Arabidopsis thaliana: one gene and its partner. The protein of the gene in region 1 interacts with the protein of each later gene in a pairwise test. Each region holds a gene or a part of one and is shown in the gene's direction. Other genes may lie near its edges.

Evidence for each region. The genes of interacting proteins can lie anywhere in the genome.
Region 2: the proteins of MLO4 (region 1) and AT2G04050 interact in a protein complementation assay, tested with the Arabidopsis thaliana proteins (one large-scale study listed by BioGRID).

The regions. Positions count from the first base shown.
Region 1 is NC_003070.9:3,669,859-3,679,428, reverse strand, and holds MLO4 (Seven transmembrane MLO family protein), read left to right. Parts: upstream 1-3,295; 5' UTR 3,296-3,375; exon of another isoform or gene 3,376-3,470; 5' UTR 3,471-3,519; coding exon 3,520-3,645; intron 3,646-4,013; coding exon 4,014-4,071; intron 4,072-4,160; coding exon 4,161-4,381; intron 4,382-4,472; coding exon 4,473-4,589; intron 4,590-4,902; coding exon 4,903-4,963; intron 4,964-5,408; coding exon 5,409-5,500; intron 5,501-5,637; coding exon 5,638-5,712; intron 5,713-5,857; coding exon 5,858-5,943; intron 5,944-6,059; coding exon 6,060-6,109; intron 6,110-6,200; coding exon 6,201-6,241; intron 6,242-6,333; coding exon 6,334-6,507; intron 6,508-6,599; coding exon 6,600-6,635; intron 6,636-6,724; coding exon 6,725-6,792; coding exon of another isoform or gene 6,793-6,862; exon of another isoform or gene 6,863-6,868; coding exon 6,869-6,929; intron 6,930-7,038; coding exon 7,039-7,494; 3' UTR 7,495-7,673; downstream 7,674-9,570. Other genes in the region: AT1G11040 (HSP40/DnaJ peptide-binding protein), read left to right, coding at 1-204; AT1G11020 (RING/FYVE/PHD zinc finger superfamily protein), read right to left, coding at 1,079-1,458, 1,573-1,696, 2,000-2,461; AT1G10990 (uncharacterized protein), read left to right, coding at 8,338-8,916.
Region 2 is NC_003071.7:1,335,558-1,343,158, reverse strand, and holds AT2G04050 (MATE efflux family protein), read left to right. Parts: upstream 1-3,690; 5' UTR 3,691-3,888; coding exon 3,889-4,134; intron 4,135-4,225; coding exon 4,226-4,770; intron 4,771-4,865; coding exon 4,866-4,952; intron 4,953-5,037; coding exon 5,038-5,094; intron 5,095-5,170; coding exon 5,171-5,615; intron 5,616-5,722; coding exon 5,723-5,773; 3' UTR 5,774-5,979; downstream 5,980-7,601. Other genes in the region: AT2G04060 (glycosyl hydrolase family 35 protein), read left to right, coding at 1-17, 196-303, 561-1,022; DTX1 (MATE efflux family protein), read left to right, coding at 6,679-6,924, 7,013-7,557.

The DNA.
Region 1 (9,570 bases):
GGAGAGTCAATGTCGATAACCGTGGGAGATGTGATCTTCCACGGATTTGAGAAGGCGATAAAAGGTCAAGGTATGCCAAATGCTAAAGAAGAAGGTAAGCGAGGGGATTTGAGAATAACGTTTTTAGTGAATTTCCCGGAGAAGTTGAGTGAAGAACAACGATCAATGGCCTATGAGGTGTTGAAAGATTGTTCTTGGGCATAAAGGTTTATAATATGCATATGTGTTTCTTCATGCCTTTCACTTCCTTCATTGTATATATGTTTCCTACTAGTCGAGTGGGCTTGATGCGTTAAAGTTGTGATTCGTTGACATTAGGCTTATTTTTATATATTTTCCTTTATATATACATTTTGTTTTCTTAGATTGAGCTGTTTTTTCTATGATTCTTTCTTGCTGTGAATGATACAATTGTCTTCTTGTAGTTAACATTGATCAGTATATCGACAAAGATAACTATCTGAAAAAATTGACAATCAACTTAGCTTTAGTAATGCTTACGACTTTTACGAGTTCTTTGGAGTGAATCCAAAAGAAAACGATGATATTATATACTATAATCTGCACTAGCATACTAAATGACCGCATAGCGCAGTGGATTAGCGCGTCTGACTTCGGATCAGAAGGTCGTGGGTTCGACTCCCACTGTGGTCGTATTTTTGTTATATTTTTAGGTTTTCGGGGGTTTGTAGGAAATTTAAGCTGCAACGACGTACCTATGCTCTCCGTTATCATCTCACTGCTTTCAGAAACTGTAACTCAAAAAGGAACACTTTTACACTAATATCCCTTTTCTCTGGTGAGAGCTTTTTGTGTGATAACTGAAACATCAGTCGGTATATAGACTCTGTTTGTAGATTTGGGTCTCAATATCTTTAATAGTCACTGAAAAACCAGTAGCATTGCATCACCTCATACCATAATTATAATAAATATATATAAGACAAAATATCCATTAGGTACTTTTCATCGCATGATAAAGAAAAGAAAGACACTCTGTGAACATATACGTATGAACTCGTCTCTCTCATGTGCCCGAAACTCCTTACAACCTTTATTTGACAGTTAAAAAACACGGTCACAGAAGTTTCAGCATTTTCAGTCTTCCTTCGTGCTCTGCATCCAGCTTCGGGGGAGTGTAACTTCCGTGAAGATCCTCCACAATGTACTCCTTTGTGAGCTCTCGCTTGGTGAGAATATGGTAATGTCTCTGCCATATCCTTTGGATAGCCATAGTTGCAGCAAGAAACCCATACGCTAAACCAAGAATGGCAAAGATGACGACAAAAACAACAACAAGAGCGAAACAAGCTTCCATTGAAGCAGGGAAACAATCCAAGACACCCCATCCATAACAGCAGTTCTGGCATCCAGCCATCCTCGGGTCATTACCGTTGAGAGCAGAGCAATGTAGAATGATTCCAAGAAATCCAGTCAGCACAAAGAAGGATATAACCCCTAAGAATTCATGACACACCAAATGTTCAAACGCGTGTAAGGCTTCTAGATCCGTGGTATTTGAAAGGTATACTAGTTACGCAATAAAAGGGAGATGAAAGATTCAGTAAATACCAATGCAGTAATAAAACGGGATGGGATGTTTCGACAAAATACGATCCCAATCATCGTTGAAAGAGTTGCGAAACTCTCCGTCTTTGTCCATCATATATGCGAATCCGGCCATCACAGCGATAACCTAGAGTTTCAACAATCTTCTTATTATCAGACGTCAAAAAGATTCAGACAATCTCTATGAAAAACAAGCTTCAAAAATGGCAAGTCACAGTGAGCAAAATGAACAATTTGATAGTCATCAACTTCCATTGTCAATTTCAAGCACCCACCATGTGTACGCAGTAACCAGGTCAAGATTCGAATCTAGTTCACTTTGTGAGCCAGATTATGACATCATATAAAATTTATCCTCAGAATCTCTTAATAAATGCTTTATAATCCTCACGAAAACTATGAAGAGAAGCTGAGAGAGAGAGATACTCACAGTCTGCACAGCTAAGAAAACCAAAAGCACATCTCTTGCGACAAAGAGTCTGAATTTAGCTTTTCTACGCCACGAATTGTTATCCTCAAAGGGTTCGACTCTCAGATGAAACTGTGCTTTGCAAGTAGTACAGTGAGAGAAAGCAAAACCTTCTTTAACCGATCGCCAATGATCGAGACATGAGCGATGCACGAATTGTTGAGTGCCTTTACACATACAAGGTGAAATCAATTCATCGCCTAACAATTCACTATCGTCCTCCAAACAAATACGACAACAAGGAGCTGAAGAAGCATCGTTCTCTAAATCTTCTTCAGCCTTTATCTCATCGCTATTTCCTGCCACCACAGACGCAGCAGAAGGAGACGCCGAAGAAGAATTGGTGTGATCTCCTAACAAAGGAGCGGAATCACTTAGTTTCTGTGAATCCGGTGGCTGCAATTGTACTTCACCTTGCATCATTGATCCAAACCTTCGCTAACCCTAAATTTCAGACAAGAAATCTGTGGGTGGAAATCAATCGGTGTGATTAGAGGACTAATGATTCGAATCGAGTCAAATACATTAGCGTCTCTGTGTTCGTTGATCGGCTAGAGAATAATCGTGCGGGGATGTGAGAAGATTATTTACAGAAGTGGGAGAGAGGCAAAACATAAAACTGGAGAAGAAGGGTCAATGCGAGAGAGAAACGAAAGCTTCTTTATTTTGGGAATTGAAAATTACAGAGAAAAAGGGAAATGGGGTGAGAGAGGCTCGAACTCTCGACCTCAGGATCACTCAATAGCTATGAGACCTACGCGCTAGCCAACTGCGCCACCACCCCAATGTTGGGAATTTGTACACGTGTTAATTTATTATATCATATTCATTTATTCTCCTGGCAAAACAGTGACCGGTCCACCACAAATTGCCAAATCCTAGTATCATTAGTCAAAGCTTTGATGTACTCGTAAACTTCTAATATTAACCGCCATTTATCAGTAAAATCGGTTGAGTTGTTGCTGCTAGATTATGATTAGTAGATTGCTGCTATAAATTCGGTTTACAAAAATTGTATGAAATGGCGTAATTTTGGTTTTTGTATCTGATTATTGTTCATTTAATTCGGACAGTGATTGAATCTCTCTCCTAATTTCAATGATACGTAAACCGATTGAGATATCATCAACCCGGCTTTGTTATTATCGACTAATGGTTGTACCGGTCGGTAAAGTCCGGCTATTAAATTGCATTATTAAATTTAGGTTCTTTAACGACATTTAGGGGGAAGCACATGAATGCTGCAATAAATGAAAGAAGCAATTGAATAAAGAAAGAGAAGAGAGAAGACCGTTGGAGAAGACGAGGAAGCAACCATGTGCTTTGGTTTCTACTTGGTACAGCATTCCATGAGCTTTTTTCTTCTCTTTGACTAGTATATTTTATTGTAGAAAATTAAATGGAGGAAAAAGCTAAACTTTCTTAATCACAGATGCAGATTGATTCTCCATTTTTCTCGGGAGAAAAGTTCCTCGCCGGAGATGGAGCATATGATGAAAGAAGGAAGGTCTCTTGCAGAGACGCCGACTTACTCTGTTGCTTCGGTTGTTACTGTTTTGGTCTTTGTTTGCTTTCTCGTTGAACGCGCCATTTACAGATTTGGAAAGGTGTGTTTTTGTTTTGTATTTTTTCTTCGTGTGTGTGCCTACTATATGTTTGTTGAAATGCTCAGCTCAAAAGAATGAGTGTGAAGAACGTATTATGATTTTTTTTTTTTTTCTGCACACTTGCCACTTGGGTTAACTCTTGCTCTCCATGATTCATGAGCTGGAAATGTTTTATCTAATAATGGGTGCTAGAAAGTGAGAATTTTTATGGACGAGATGTTTCTTCTTGGAGATATGTGTTTATGCTTGCTAAATGTCAGTAGAAGTAGTGTTGATGTTTTCACTCTAAGAGAAGTCATTATTACAGGATGTGTCTTTCATGTTAGATATATATGAGGAGCTAATTTCATGTTCTGTTTTGTTTTCAGTGGTTAAAGAAGACTAGAAGAAAGGCACTTTTTACTTCACTTGAGAAAATGAAAGAGGGTATGTCAAATAAACCTGTGCTGATGTTGTGGTGCTTTATACTTTCTTTCTTTTTCGTTTGATTTTGACTTGTTAAACTTTCTTGGTAGAGTTGATGTTGCTGGGACTTATATCACTTCTGTTGTCACAAAGCGCGAGATGGATTTCAGAAATCTGTGTTAACTCTTCCCTTTTCAATAGTAAATTCTACATTTGCTCTGAAGAGGACTATGGAATCCATAAGAAAGTTCTTCTGGAACACACCTCTTCTACAAACCAGAGCTCCTTACCTCATCATGGAATACATGAAGCCTCTCATCAATGTGGTCATGTAAATATTTACTTTTTCTATCGACTTAAGAGCCTATTTTCCTTTTGACTTTTAATTATATTACTGAACTGGATGTTGGATCCAATGCCAGGGCCGTGAACCATTTGTGTCGTATGAGGGACTCGAGCAACTCCTAAGATTCTTATTCGTCCTGGGTATCACTCATGTTCTATACAGTGGCATTGCCATTGGTTTAGCCATGAGCAAGGTACACATCCTAGCTCCTAAATCTACATATGAGTGTTAAATTTGTATTCTTAAGTATTTCTATGTTGCTCCGAAAGGAAGAGATGTATTATACTTGCAATCAACTTTATCCTCATGTCTAGAGGATGTAGAGAACCTCATGATCAAATAATTAGTGGTCCTAAGTATATGTCAAATAGAAATTATCTTCAATCTGAAAATTGAGGGAAAACCTTCGATATTATCATTTATGTGCATAGAGTGTTAGTAAGATTAAGCAGACGAACATATCAATACCATCTGAAACAGTGTTGTCTTTTTATCACGTAACACAGATTTACAGTTGGAGAAAATGGGAAGCCCAAGCGATCATAATGGCTGAATCAGATATCCACGGTAAATGACAAGACTTTTCTGTCTCTCCTTCAAATTAAGGCTTGTATGTTTTTGATGGGTCTCATCTTGAGGGCACATGAGGAACTGTGTTATCTTAGGATTAAGAACAGCATGAAACTAGGATTCTGTTAAGTATTTAGGTTGTTCATTCATGAACTCACTTAAGCTGTGGAGAGGCTTTTATGCAGATTTGCAAATTTCGCTTCATCTTGACTAGCAGATCAAATCCAGTATAATCACTTATAAATACTGATATAGGAAAAATTCCTTTCTGTCCTAGTATAATCACTTATACAGGATTGAAATGAACTGTGTGGAAAAGAGATGTATCTCTGTAATTTTAGCTTTATCACAAACAGCTGATTCATTGTTAAAGATACTTAATGCCTAGGATGCTTTAGTTTCCAGTCATATATACCCTAGTCTTCTTGACTTTGTTCAACAGCAAAGAAGACCAAGGTGATGAAGCGTCAGTCTACATTTGTTTTCCATCATGCCTCTCATCCTTGGAGTAACAATCGTTTTCTCATTTGGATGGTAACTCCCCATGCTTTTACCTTAAGCTGTAATTTTTTAAAAATTTCATATCTCTAGTTAAGAACACTGTTATATTTTTCTCCAGAAGCTATTTTTACGGCATTTGTCCAGCAATAAAATATATGTTTGCATTGCAGCTTTGTTTCCTGCGGCAATTTAGAGGCTCCATACGAAAGTCTGACTACTTCGCACTTCGGTTAGGTTTCCTCACTGTGAGTAACTTTTTTATTTCGTTTCTCAGTCTTTCCTTCAAATTTAAAATATAACTTTCTAGTAATTTCTCAAGAATTCTCATCTAATCTGGTAGCTGACATGATTAGTTTTCTGAATCCGGTCTTCATTACTTTAAAATTTCAGAAACATAATTTGCCATTTACATACAACTTCCATATGTATATGGTACGGACGATGGAAGATGAGTTTCATGGCATTGTTGGAATTAGGTATGCGTTTCTGAGAATTGAGATCTTATCAAAGACTCTTTATTCAACTGTTTTCAGAAGATTTCGTAAGGGAGTTACAGAATGGGACTGATGAATGTTTCTTGATGAATCAACAGCTGGCCACTTTGGGTTTACGCTATAGTATGCATCTGCATAAATGTTCATGGTAACTTATCGGTTCAATAAATACAAACTACATTCCATTTCTATCTCCACATTAAAGCTTTGTCTTTACTAATTCAGTGATTTCCTTGCAGGCCTGAATATGTACTTTTGGATATCATTCGTTCCTGCCATTGTAAGTAAAAGCAAGATTAAGTAAAAAGCTTGAAATTCATAAGGCAGTACTAACACTCAGAGCATGTGTTTGTATCTGTTTTGTTGTCTAAGCTTGTCATGTTGGTTGGAACCAAACTTGAGCATGTTGTCTCCAAGCTTGCTCTCGAGGTTAAGGAGCAGCAGACAGGCACATCTAATGGGGCTCAAGTCAAACCACGTGATGGGCTCTTCTGGTTTGGGAAACCAGAAATTCTGCTACGGTTGATACAATTTATCATTTTTCAGGTAAGCAAAAAGACTTTTCCTTTCTCAATTCTTCAAGCCATGATATTACTCTATTCACACAGATGATCCTTATATATTTCCTGCTAATGCAGAATGCATTTGAAATGGCAACATTCATCTGGTTCTTGGTAAGGCCACCTTATAAAATGCATCAATACTTAAATCAGCTATGCAAAGTTTTTCAGTTTTTGAGAAGATCATCAATTTCATGTATCAGTGGGGAATCAAGGAAAGATCTTGCTTCATGAAGAACCATGTGATGATATCAAGCCGGCTAATTTCTGGGTGCGTTTCAAATACACAACAATTCGCAGCAACACACTGTCTCTTAAGATTTTTTTTTTCTTTCTGGTGAATGCAGGGTTCTCGTTCAGTTCTGGTGTAGTTATGGCACTGTGCCTCTCAATGTAATCGTTACTCAGGTTCGTCAAAACCTTTCATATATCTACAATTCCACAATCTTAAGCCTATCCAAGTCTGTGACTAAACATCGTTCATAAAAACTCTATGGTTTCACCTGAATCTGAACAGATGGGATCTCGGCATAAGAAAGCTGTGATAGCAGAGAGCGTAAGAGACTCACTTCACAGTTGGTGCAAGAGAGTGAAAGAGAGGTCTAAGCACACGAGATCAGTGTGTTCCCTTGACACAGCAACAATAGACGAGAGAGACGAGATGACAGTGGGGACATTGTCTAGGAGCTCATCGATGACTTCACTGAATCAGATTACCATAAACTCCATAGACCAAGCAGAGTCTATATTCGGAGCAGCAGCTTCATCCAGCAGTCCTCAAGATGGATACACGTCGAGGGTGGAAGAATATCTGTCTGAAACATACAATAACATCGGTTCGATACCGCCTTTAAACGATGAGATTGAGATTGAGATTGAAGGTGAAGAAGATAATGGAGGGAGAGGAAGTGGGAGTGATGAGAATAACGGTGATGCTGGAGAAACACTTCTTGAGTTGTTTAGGAGGACTTGATCTTGTTTCTGCTTTTAGAAGCTTGGTTCAGTTGTAATTACTTGACATCCATACAAGAATAACAATTAACAAAGTAAATCTTTTGTTGGTCCAGTAAAAAAAAGTATTCAATGATCAAAGTACATCTTTTGTTGGTTCAGAGGTAAATTTAAAATATAATAGCATGGATTGGAACGAGATATTATGGCATTAGGAAACTTTTTGATTATGGCAGTATAAACAAAGACCACAAATTATGGCAGCTATACATATATTGATTTCAAAACAGAGATAAAGACTTGTCACCTGTCATTTGATTATTTATGAATTTACCTCTGCAGCATTTTCCTTCTTCTGTGCAGTCACGCCTACCGATGGATTTGATTAATTTCCTGTCGATTATTACTAAGTTGTATTTCTAGTAAATACAACTTAAAAGTAGTTTTGTACTCGGTCTTAAAACTAGTTTTGTACATAGTTTTTGAGTAAGATACTTTGTTTTTTTTGGGACAAAGAGTAAGTTAGTAATATCAAATTTTATCATAGTGATTGTTAATTTATGTCAACTACGAAATTAAGAAGTTATCAAATCTGATTTGAGTTATGATAACAATGTCATTGATAGACTCGGTCAATTATGGCATTAAGAAAATCTAAGGATTTAAGTAACCAGGTATCAATTATTACCGCCGTTGGTATTGACTTTTAAATAAGACTTGCCAGTTGTCACACACATGTCATAAACAATTGTTTTTTTCTTCTTCTTTTCATTCAAATGATAAAATTAAACTTGCACTATACAGTTTCTATAGAATCATCCATCACTAGATCTGGTCTGGCGATCCCCAAAAGATCAAGTCAAAAATGAATAACAGAGAAATGAAACATGGTAAAAAAAAAGACGAGAAGATGCCGGTTTTAGTGATGCCAGGTTTCATAGCCGGAGCAACATTTCTGGTTATTTGGATCATACGACGTGAGTTCCTTTTATCTTACTTTTGGTGTAACATAGATTTCCTTGCTTCTGTTTATCTTTTGAATAATCCATATATAGGCTATAGAAAGGGCTCCACCAAAACTAACTCGCCGCCACCATCCGCGCTTCCAAAGGCTCGAGAATGTGGTCCTGTGGCGTCCACTAAACCTAACTTAACACCTGCGCCGCCGCTAGGTCAGCCACGGCTATACGCTCAAGAATCTCAACAGTACAGTCTTGTGGCGTCCAATGAACCTGACTTGACACCTGCGCTGCTAGGCCCGCCACCGCTATACGCTCAACAGTCTCAACAGTTTAGTACTATTGTGGTGTCCAGTGAAACCGACATACCCCAGCTTCTGGTTCAATGTTGTCCGCCAGATGGAGACCGTGGATTAACAAATCAATACTATGCGGGACAAGAGTTCGACTTAGGAGGACACGACAAGGACAGCGATTCCGATTAAGAGTAGAGTACTTTTTTAAACAACTTTTGATTATGAATTTACCTCATCCACCATTTTTCTTCTCTTTATCTTGTGTGCACCGGCATCTTTAGACTATAATATATGTCGTAAGAAGAAGAAGAAGATTATAATTGGTTGATTTCAGTTATTTTATTATCAAAAAGGAAAGAGAGGATAATGTAATGTTGTAATCTTATATATATATATCCGAATCAGGGCGTCATTTCAGTTTACTAAATCATTTTTATTTATCTAATTTATGAACCATAGATGCGTTAAAACGTCTACTTAACCTTTTGTAAACTTGAGTGAATTGATGAATGGAGTAAAATTTCAAGTTTCATCGCATTCGTTTGTGTTATTAAGTTTTGTGCTGAGAGCAAATCTTCTTTTAGCCAAACAATGGGTGTTGTGGATTTCTAGACTTGATTTTATTTTCTAGCAAACTAAATAAAGTTTTGGGCCCAATGGGCCTGACTCATTGAACAACAAACTAGCCGTTGGTCCGTGTTTGTGCATAGCTCGGAGACGAGAGGTTGTACGTGTACGGAAAGTAACAGTACGGAGATTAGTCATGAAAAACAATAAACATGGTGCTTTTATGTTTTATATACTCCAAAAAGGGGTCTGCGTGACAGTGAGATAGACAGAGAG
Region 2 (7,601 bases), on another chromosome or scaffold:
ATGGAGCTACAAAACTGGTTTAAGCGGGGTTGAGAACCAACTCTTTAGTTCAGAATCACCTTCGACATGGTCAGGTGAAAGTGTACCATTCAACTGAACCATGACTTAGTACAAGGTAAGTAGATATTAAAATCAATAGCTACCAAAAAGTTATAGATGCAATTTAAAATCTTATTATTCTAATGTTTCTTTCAGACTATTTTCAAAGCTCCTTTGGGAAGTGAACCAGTTGTGGTCGATCTTTTGGGATTTGGAAAAGGAAAGGCTTCGATCAATGAAAATTACACTGGCCGTTACTGGCCAGTTTTTCTAGAAACCAAAAAAGAAAAAAAAAAATCGATGCGTGATTTACCTCTCTTTTGTGTTTTGTAAACTGAATGGTTCCTATTGAGAAGTAATTTAGGTACAACAAAAAGCTGTTCTTGAATTGGAAACATATTAATTCCCAAACCCTTAAAAGCTTGAAGCTCAGGTCTGCTCACACTCCTTCAGTGCAAAGCCCAATACAAACTTTGTGTGGAATTCTTAATCTCCATGGTCGAGGACTTCATGTGAGAGAGGATCCACCTGTTCTGTTACGGTTTTCCACCCATCTCTTGCATAACTGGGTTCTAGCTTCCTCTCCATATCGCTACGTAATGTCTGAGCTCATCTCTCAATATGCGAAAAACCTAGCAATCATCCTCAAGCATCTAAGCAATATTACCCTTGCTCGAACCCGTGTCCAAGCACTTTCTCGTGTAGTTCTCTTCGGGCCAGTGAGATTCACGACTTTGACCACTTTTACAACGCCACTTGGTCTCTTGACAATGGCTATATGTTCATCCATTGACTCGTCTTTGGAAGAATTGTCGATAATCTTTGATCTCACATGTACCAAAATGCTTTATAGCTTTTGGCTCAAAGCTCTCAAAGAACTCTTGTCGATTAAACCTATCGATCCTTTTATCTATCTTTTTATCTACCTTATGTTGGCTTTGTGGAATGCTCCTTATGGTTGTATTGTTAACTTCTGGATCTGATTCCCTCCTCCTTTGTACTTGGTTTCTATCTTAATTGAATGATATCATCTCTTTGACAAAAAAAATAAAATAAAATAAAATAAATAATAATTCCCAAATCCCACAACACATTACCAGATATGGAGGAATGATGATGATGTGAGTTGTTTTTTCTGTTATTATTTTCCCTACTTTTTTTTTCCATCAATTGAAGTTAAATACATTTTATGATAAATAATTAAACAAACAAAGATAAAATTGTATTTCTTTGGTTTATCTCTTTGGAGTTCTAATAATAACAGGTGTTTCGCAATTTATTTCTATAATGAAAAATAATAATATATATTTCCAATTAATCCATATTGCAACTCATGTGTAATAGATTCATTGAAATATCTAATAAATAAACAAAAATTCTAACAATAATCTTAAACTGTTGAAAGCAAATAACCATTATGAAAAGATATTACTTTTATAATTCAAAATCATGTATCACATGTAGTATTGTACATGCTACATATTAATTGTTTTAACATAACTTTTGAGAAAAAAATGCGGTAAAAAACCTTCAAAGTGACAAATTTTTTATCCGCTCTTAACTTTTTTTTTTATTATATACAAATCAAATTTAAGGAAATAACTCAATAATAAGATATTTTAACTTTAAATTCCTAATTTTATTATATCCATATAAAATCAATTTCTTTTTATTGTTTTAAATTCTTAAAGAAAATATTTCTTTATCTTCCATTTACATAAAGTATTGTTGGTCAATTGGTAACTCGATAGCGACATAACGTTTTCAGTACATTTATCAGATTTTATATAACTTGTTTTTTCTTTTGAACCGACATTATGAGATCTTTAGTCAAGTTGGAGGATTTTCCATTGAAAATCATCTTATATCATAAGCTTTAAAAATTTTAATTGTGAAGGTTTAAATCATATGTTTGTAATACATGCATTTCCATTTCACCCCAAAAAAAAGGTAATATTGAATATATTAAGTTTTAATTTATAATAAAACATATCAATTTCACACAAAAAGAGCCAAAATATAGTGCATTGAAAACTTTTAATCAAGTAAAATGTCTTCATTAAACATATCATAATTTGTAAACATCAAAATTATTACTTCTAATAATTTCTATCGATATATTAACAATTATAAAAAAATATTATATATAATTTAATGTTAATATCATTCTATATTCAAAACTAAAACCAAATATACAATTCACGCATCGTTTGGATAACTTTCTAGTATATATATATATATATTAGAATGAAAAAGTCTTGTAGAGCATTAGACCACTAATAATTAAAAAAATTTATAATTATATTGCATTTTTTAATACAATTAGACCCACTAATAAAACTACAAGTATTAAAGGTTCACCCGACTCTCAAATTTGAACCTAATACTAAATTATACCTCTCTCTCTTTTCTTACTTTTTAATATTTAGTTTTTAATGGTCAAAACCCTTTTTTTGTGCAAAAGATAATTTCATTCAAACTTAACCCATATGTAGTACAAATTTTAAACAAACATCAACCTCATGGTTGGAAACATCAAAGAAAACCACAAGTTCTCTCACAAGAGAATGGTAAAGGAAAATGATATAAGATAATTTGACGGTAGATCCATACATCGAAGACAAGAACAATGTAGTAACTTGCTACAAGCGAGAGAATGGTGAGTCGAAGACAATTACACGAATATTTTGGGAGATTGTTGAATGGTCACGGTCCAAACGAGACATAGTGACGTTGATAAAGAGTCTTTAACCTTGGATAACAATGGCTCGAAACACGCAGCTTCTACAAAGGTGATTAAGGTATCCAAATGGTTTTGCAAACTTAAAGTCGGAGACAAACCAAAAGTTCGTTCTATAAAAGAGGATGATTCAAAAGTTCTCTCTATAAAAGAGGATGATTCTATCATAAAATTCTTAGACTTATATGAATAGTATGAGCTGCTCTTTAAGGCACTAAGATCTACCACCAAGGTTAATAAAAGCACCTTGTCTAGACTATCTATAGGTGTCAACGTGATGAGAGAAAGGAGTCCACGACCAATCTCAAAACCATAACCCTGCCATCAGATATCTAGTGTTTGACAAGGAAGAAAGAAAAACAGACCTGGACCAAATTGGTAAATAGGCCTACCCATTAGCATTAGCTTTAGGCCGTGGTAAATTTATTAGTGGGCCAAAGGCTGCCCAGCCCAATTCGAAATGGGGATCCAAACAAACAGCGGTTTTGCCCTCTTTAGAATGCCGCTTTTGTGAAATTGTGAGAACCCTTGTTAAAAAAACTCGCGATGAAGTTGCTCTCAAATACTTTAATGGCTCACGGTAAGGATGCTGTTGTTGTGAGTCACGTGTTTGCACTGTGTAGTTGCTATTTAAAACAAATTCTTTTTGTTCAAAATTATTTTTTTTGATAAATTGTCAATCTCTGAATATTAGAACTTGATTCCCAAGTAATCTTTTTCGAGTTGTTTTGTTGTTTAGTCATTGATTATACGAACTTGGTCCCCAAGTATATTTCTTGTTCATGCACTTCCTTATTATCCTATTGGATGACTGTTGACCACAACGTCCACTAAAGAGAAGAAACTATACAACGTCATTGCGAAAAACTACTATACTTTTATACTTTAACGTGTAGACATAATAATATACTTTTTTGAGTATCTTCGGTGGAAAATATAGAATACCTTTTACTGGTTGAGCTAAGAGTCGTGTAAATTCAATATTCTAGTCCCACAAATTTCCAAAAAGAAAAGTCTAAACATTGGTTTTCGTTGTCTGTCTATAAAAGATAAGAAGAATAACATCAGAGATTATACGCACACGGCTTTCAACATTAGGAAGGACAACAATGGAAGAGCCCTTTCTTCTGCAAGATGAGCACCTTGTCCCCTGTAAAGACACATGGAAAAGTGGTCAGGTTACCGTCGAGCTGAAGAAAGTGAGCAGCTTGGCCGCTCCTATGGCCGCCGTGACCATTGCTCAGTACTTATTGCCTGTCATTTCAGTCATGGTCGCTGGCCACAATGGTGAGCTCCAGCTCTCCGGCGTCGCTCTTGCAACCTCCTTCACAAACGTTTCCGGGTTCAGTATTTTGGTAATGATATGCTATAACTACTCTCTCCTCTTAAGTTCAAGATCAAGTTGCCTCTCAAATCTTGATAACACTATATTAATTCTTTGTGCAGTTTGGGTTAGCGGGTGCACTAGAAACTCTTTGTGGCCAAGCTTATGGAGCCAAACAATACGAAAAAATCGGAACCTACACATACTCTGCAACTGCCTCTAACATCCCTATATGTGTCCTCATATCAGTTCTCTGGATTTACATCGAAAAGCTCTTAATCTCTCTCGGTCAAGACCCTGACATCTCTAGAGTCGCTGGCTCCTATGCCTTGTGGCTCATACCGGCTTTGTTCGCCCATGCGTTTTTCATCCCACTGACTCGGTTTCTGCTAGCACAAGGGTTGGTTCTTCCACTGCTCTACTGTACCCTGACCACTCTTTTGTTCCACATCCCTGTTTGCTGGGCTTTTGTTTACGCGTTTGGTCTGGGAAGCAATGGAGCTGCCATGGCTATTAGTGTGTCTTTCTGGTTCTATGTTGTGATTCTCTCATGTTATGTGAGGTACTCCAGCTCCTGCGACAAGACTCGCGTATTTGTATCCAGTGATTTCGTGTCTTGTATCAAGCAGTTCTTCCACTTCGGAGTCCCATCAGCGGCAATGGTTTGGTAAGTCGTTTTTAAGTTTCTTGTTGGTCAAGTTACATACAACAACCAATGCTTTTTTTTATCTTGCTTGCGTTTTCTTGGTCTTCCTTTAATAGCCTAGAATGGTGGCTATTTGAGCTACTCATACTCTGTTCAGGTCTTCTCCCAAACCCGAAACTCGAGACCTCTGTTCTTTCAATTTGGTAAATATATATCATATAACGACTTCTTTTTATTTTTATTATCCTCTTTACTAAAAACTAATGAATCTTATTTCTTTAATGCAAGTCTTACAACAGCAAGTTTGCACTATGTGATTCCAGGTGGAGTCGCGGCGGCTGTGAGGTATGAACTCAAATTTTTAACCAAACATATTCAACATCTTCTTCCTAAACAATAATAGTCATTTGGTTTCTTGCAGCACACGCGTGTCAAACAAATTGGGAGCTGGGATTCCTCAAGTTGCTAGGGTTTCAGTATTGGCAGGGCTTTGTCTCTGGCTTGTAGAGTCAGCTTTCTTTAGCACACTTCTCTTCACATGCCGAAACATTATAGGCTACGCATTCAGCAACAGCAAAGAAGTTGTGGACTATGTGGCTAACCTAACTCCTTTGCTCTGCCTCTCCTTTATCCTCGACGGTTTCACAGCAGTTCTGAATGGGGTTGCAAGGGGAAGTGGTTGGCAACACATTGGAGCTTTGAACAACGTGGTAGCTTATTATCTTGTAGGAGCTCCTGTTGGAGTATACTTAGCTTTCAATCGTGAGTTGAACGGAAAAGGACTTTGGTGTGGTGTTGTGGTCGGATCCGCTGTGCAAGCCATAATATTGGCTTTTGTCACAGCTTCCATAAATTGGAAGGAACAGGTAAAACACTTAGAATAGAAGATTCGTCATTTTAGCATGTTATACTTGTACATTCTTTTTTGTTCTTTCTTTAATACTATGAAGTAATTTTAATCTATGATTTGCAGGCTGAGAAGGCTAGGAAGAGAATGGTCTCTAGTGAAAATAGATTGGCTTAAACTAAGGATGTTTCTGAGAGCTATCTCAAACTATTTTTGTAGGTGTTGAGCAAATTTTTATGTATGGTATATTAATGTGTTAAAAAATGTTCTTACAAAATAATTTATATGTATGATTTTTTCTCAGCCTATCTTTTTCACTATGTTGTGTAACTTGTAAGTGTATAATCATCATTTATCCATAAACATGCTTTTCTTAATTTTTTCACATGTCATTCCCAATAAATTTATTTTATGGTATTTGTGACTATAACCACAATCTTCTACCAATAAATCTTAGTGAACCCTTTCCGAGAGAGCTTTTAGGCTCATAATACAATACTATTCAGATTTTGAAACTCGGACCTTCACGACAAATCTCTGACGAAACTTTGGATTCTACTTGAGAGCGGCTGTCACTTTTAGTTTCAACCACAAATGATTTACTAAAACCTGTGTAAAATCAGATCCAAATGTCTTTAAAGTGGTCTAAAGAATCAAAACTTAAGGTAAGCAAATTACTTAAATTAGAGTCAAACTTTAGGACTATATAAAAATATAAAAATCCACAAAAGTAATTAATACAAGATTGAATGTTCAAACTCTACAAAACAAAATAATTCATATTAGTCTTCAGTCTTCACATATGTTCTTATGTAAATAATTAAAAAGTATTAACACTAATGACATGTCATTTTTAATATGTATATTCTATATATCTATTTTTATAATATAGTATATTCGTGTGCCACTAGTATCTATATTTTCAAACAAGTCAAAACGAATTTGCTTCTTTACTCATCATATCTACTTCGTCACCACGTTTGTAGTTCAAGTTGCCTTTGTTGTTTATTGACTTAGTCGGTCTATAAAGATAGGATAAATATCATCTTAAAATCAAAGGGAAAGGCCTTCAACGTTAAACAATGGAGGAGCCATTTCTTCTGAGAGACGAGCTTCTAGTCCCTTCTCAAGTCACATGGCATACAAATCCATTAACCGTCGAGCTAAAGAGAGTGAGCCGCTTGGCCGCTCCTATGGCCACTGTGACCATTGCTCAGTACTTATTGCCTGTCATCTCGGTCATGGTCGCTGGCCACAACGGCGAGCTCCAGCTCTCCGGTGTCGCTCTTGCAAACTCCTTCACAAACGTCACCGGTTTTAGCATTATGGTAATTATGCTATGACTCTAACCTTTTCAACTCAAGAATCAAATGGACTCTCTCAAGTATTGAAAACACTTCAATTATTTTTGTGCAGTGTGGATTAGTGGGTGCACTTGAAACTCTTTGTGGCCAAGCTTATGGAGCCAAACAATATGAAAAAATCGGAACTTACGCATACTCTGCTATTGCTTCCAACATACCAATTTGTTTCCTCATATCAATTCTCTGGCTTTACATCGAAAAGATCTTGATTTCTCTCGGACAAGACCCTGAAATTTCAAGAATCGCTGGCTCCTACGCCTTTTGGCTTATACCGGCTTTATTTGGCCAAGCGATTGTCATACCACTGTCCCGGTTTCTGCTAACACAAGGGTTGGTTATTCCTCTGCTCTTCACTGCCGTGACCACCCTTTTGTTCCACGTTTTGGTTTGTTGGACTTTGGTTTTCTTGTTTGGTCTGGGATGTAATGGACCTGCCATGGCTACAAGTGTGTCTTTCTGGTTTTACGCTGTGATACTCTCATGTTATGTGAGATTCTCCAGCTCTTGCGAGAAGACTCGCGGATTTGTATCCCGAGATTTTGTGTCTTCTATCAAGCAGTTCTTCCAATACGGAATCCCATCAGCTGCAATGATTTGGTAAGTCATTTTAAGTTGTTTGTCCGTCAAGTTACATACCCTAA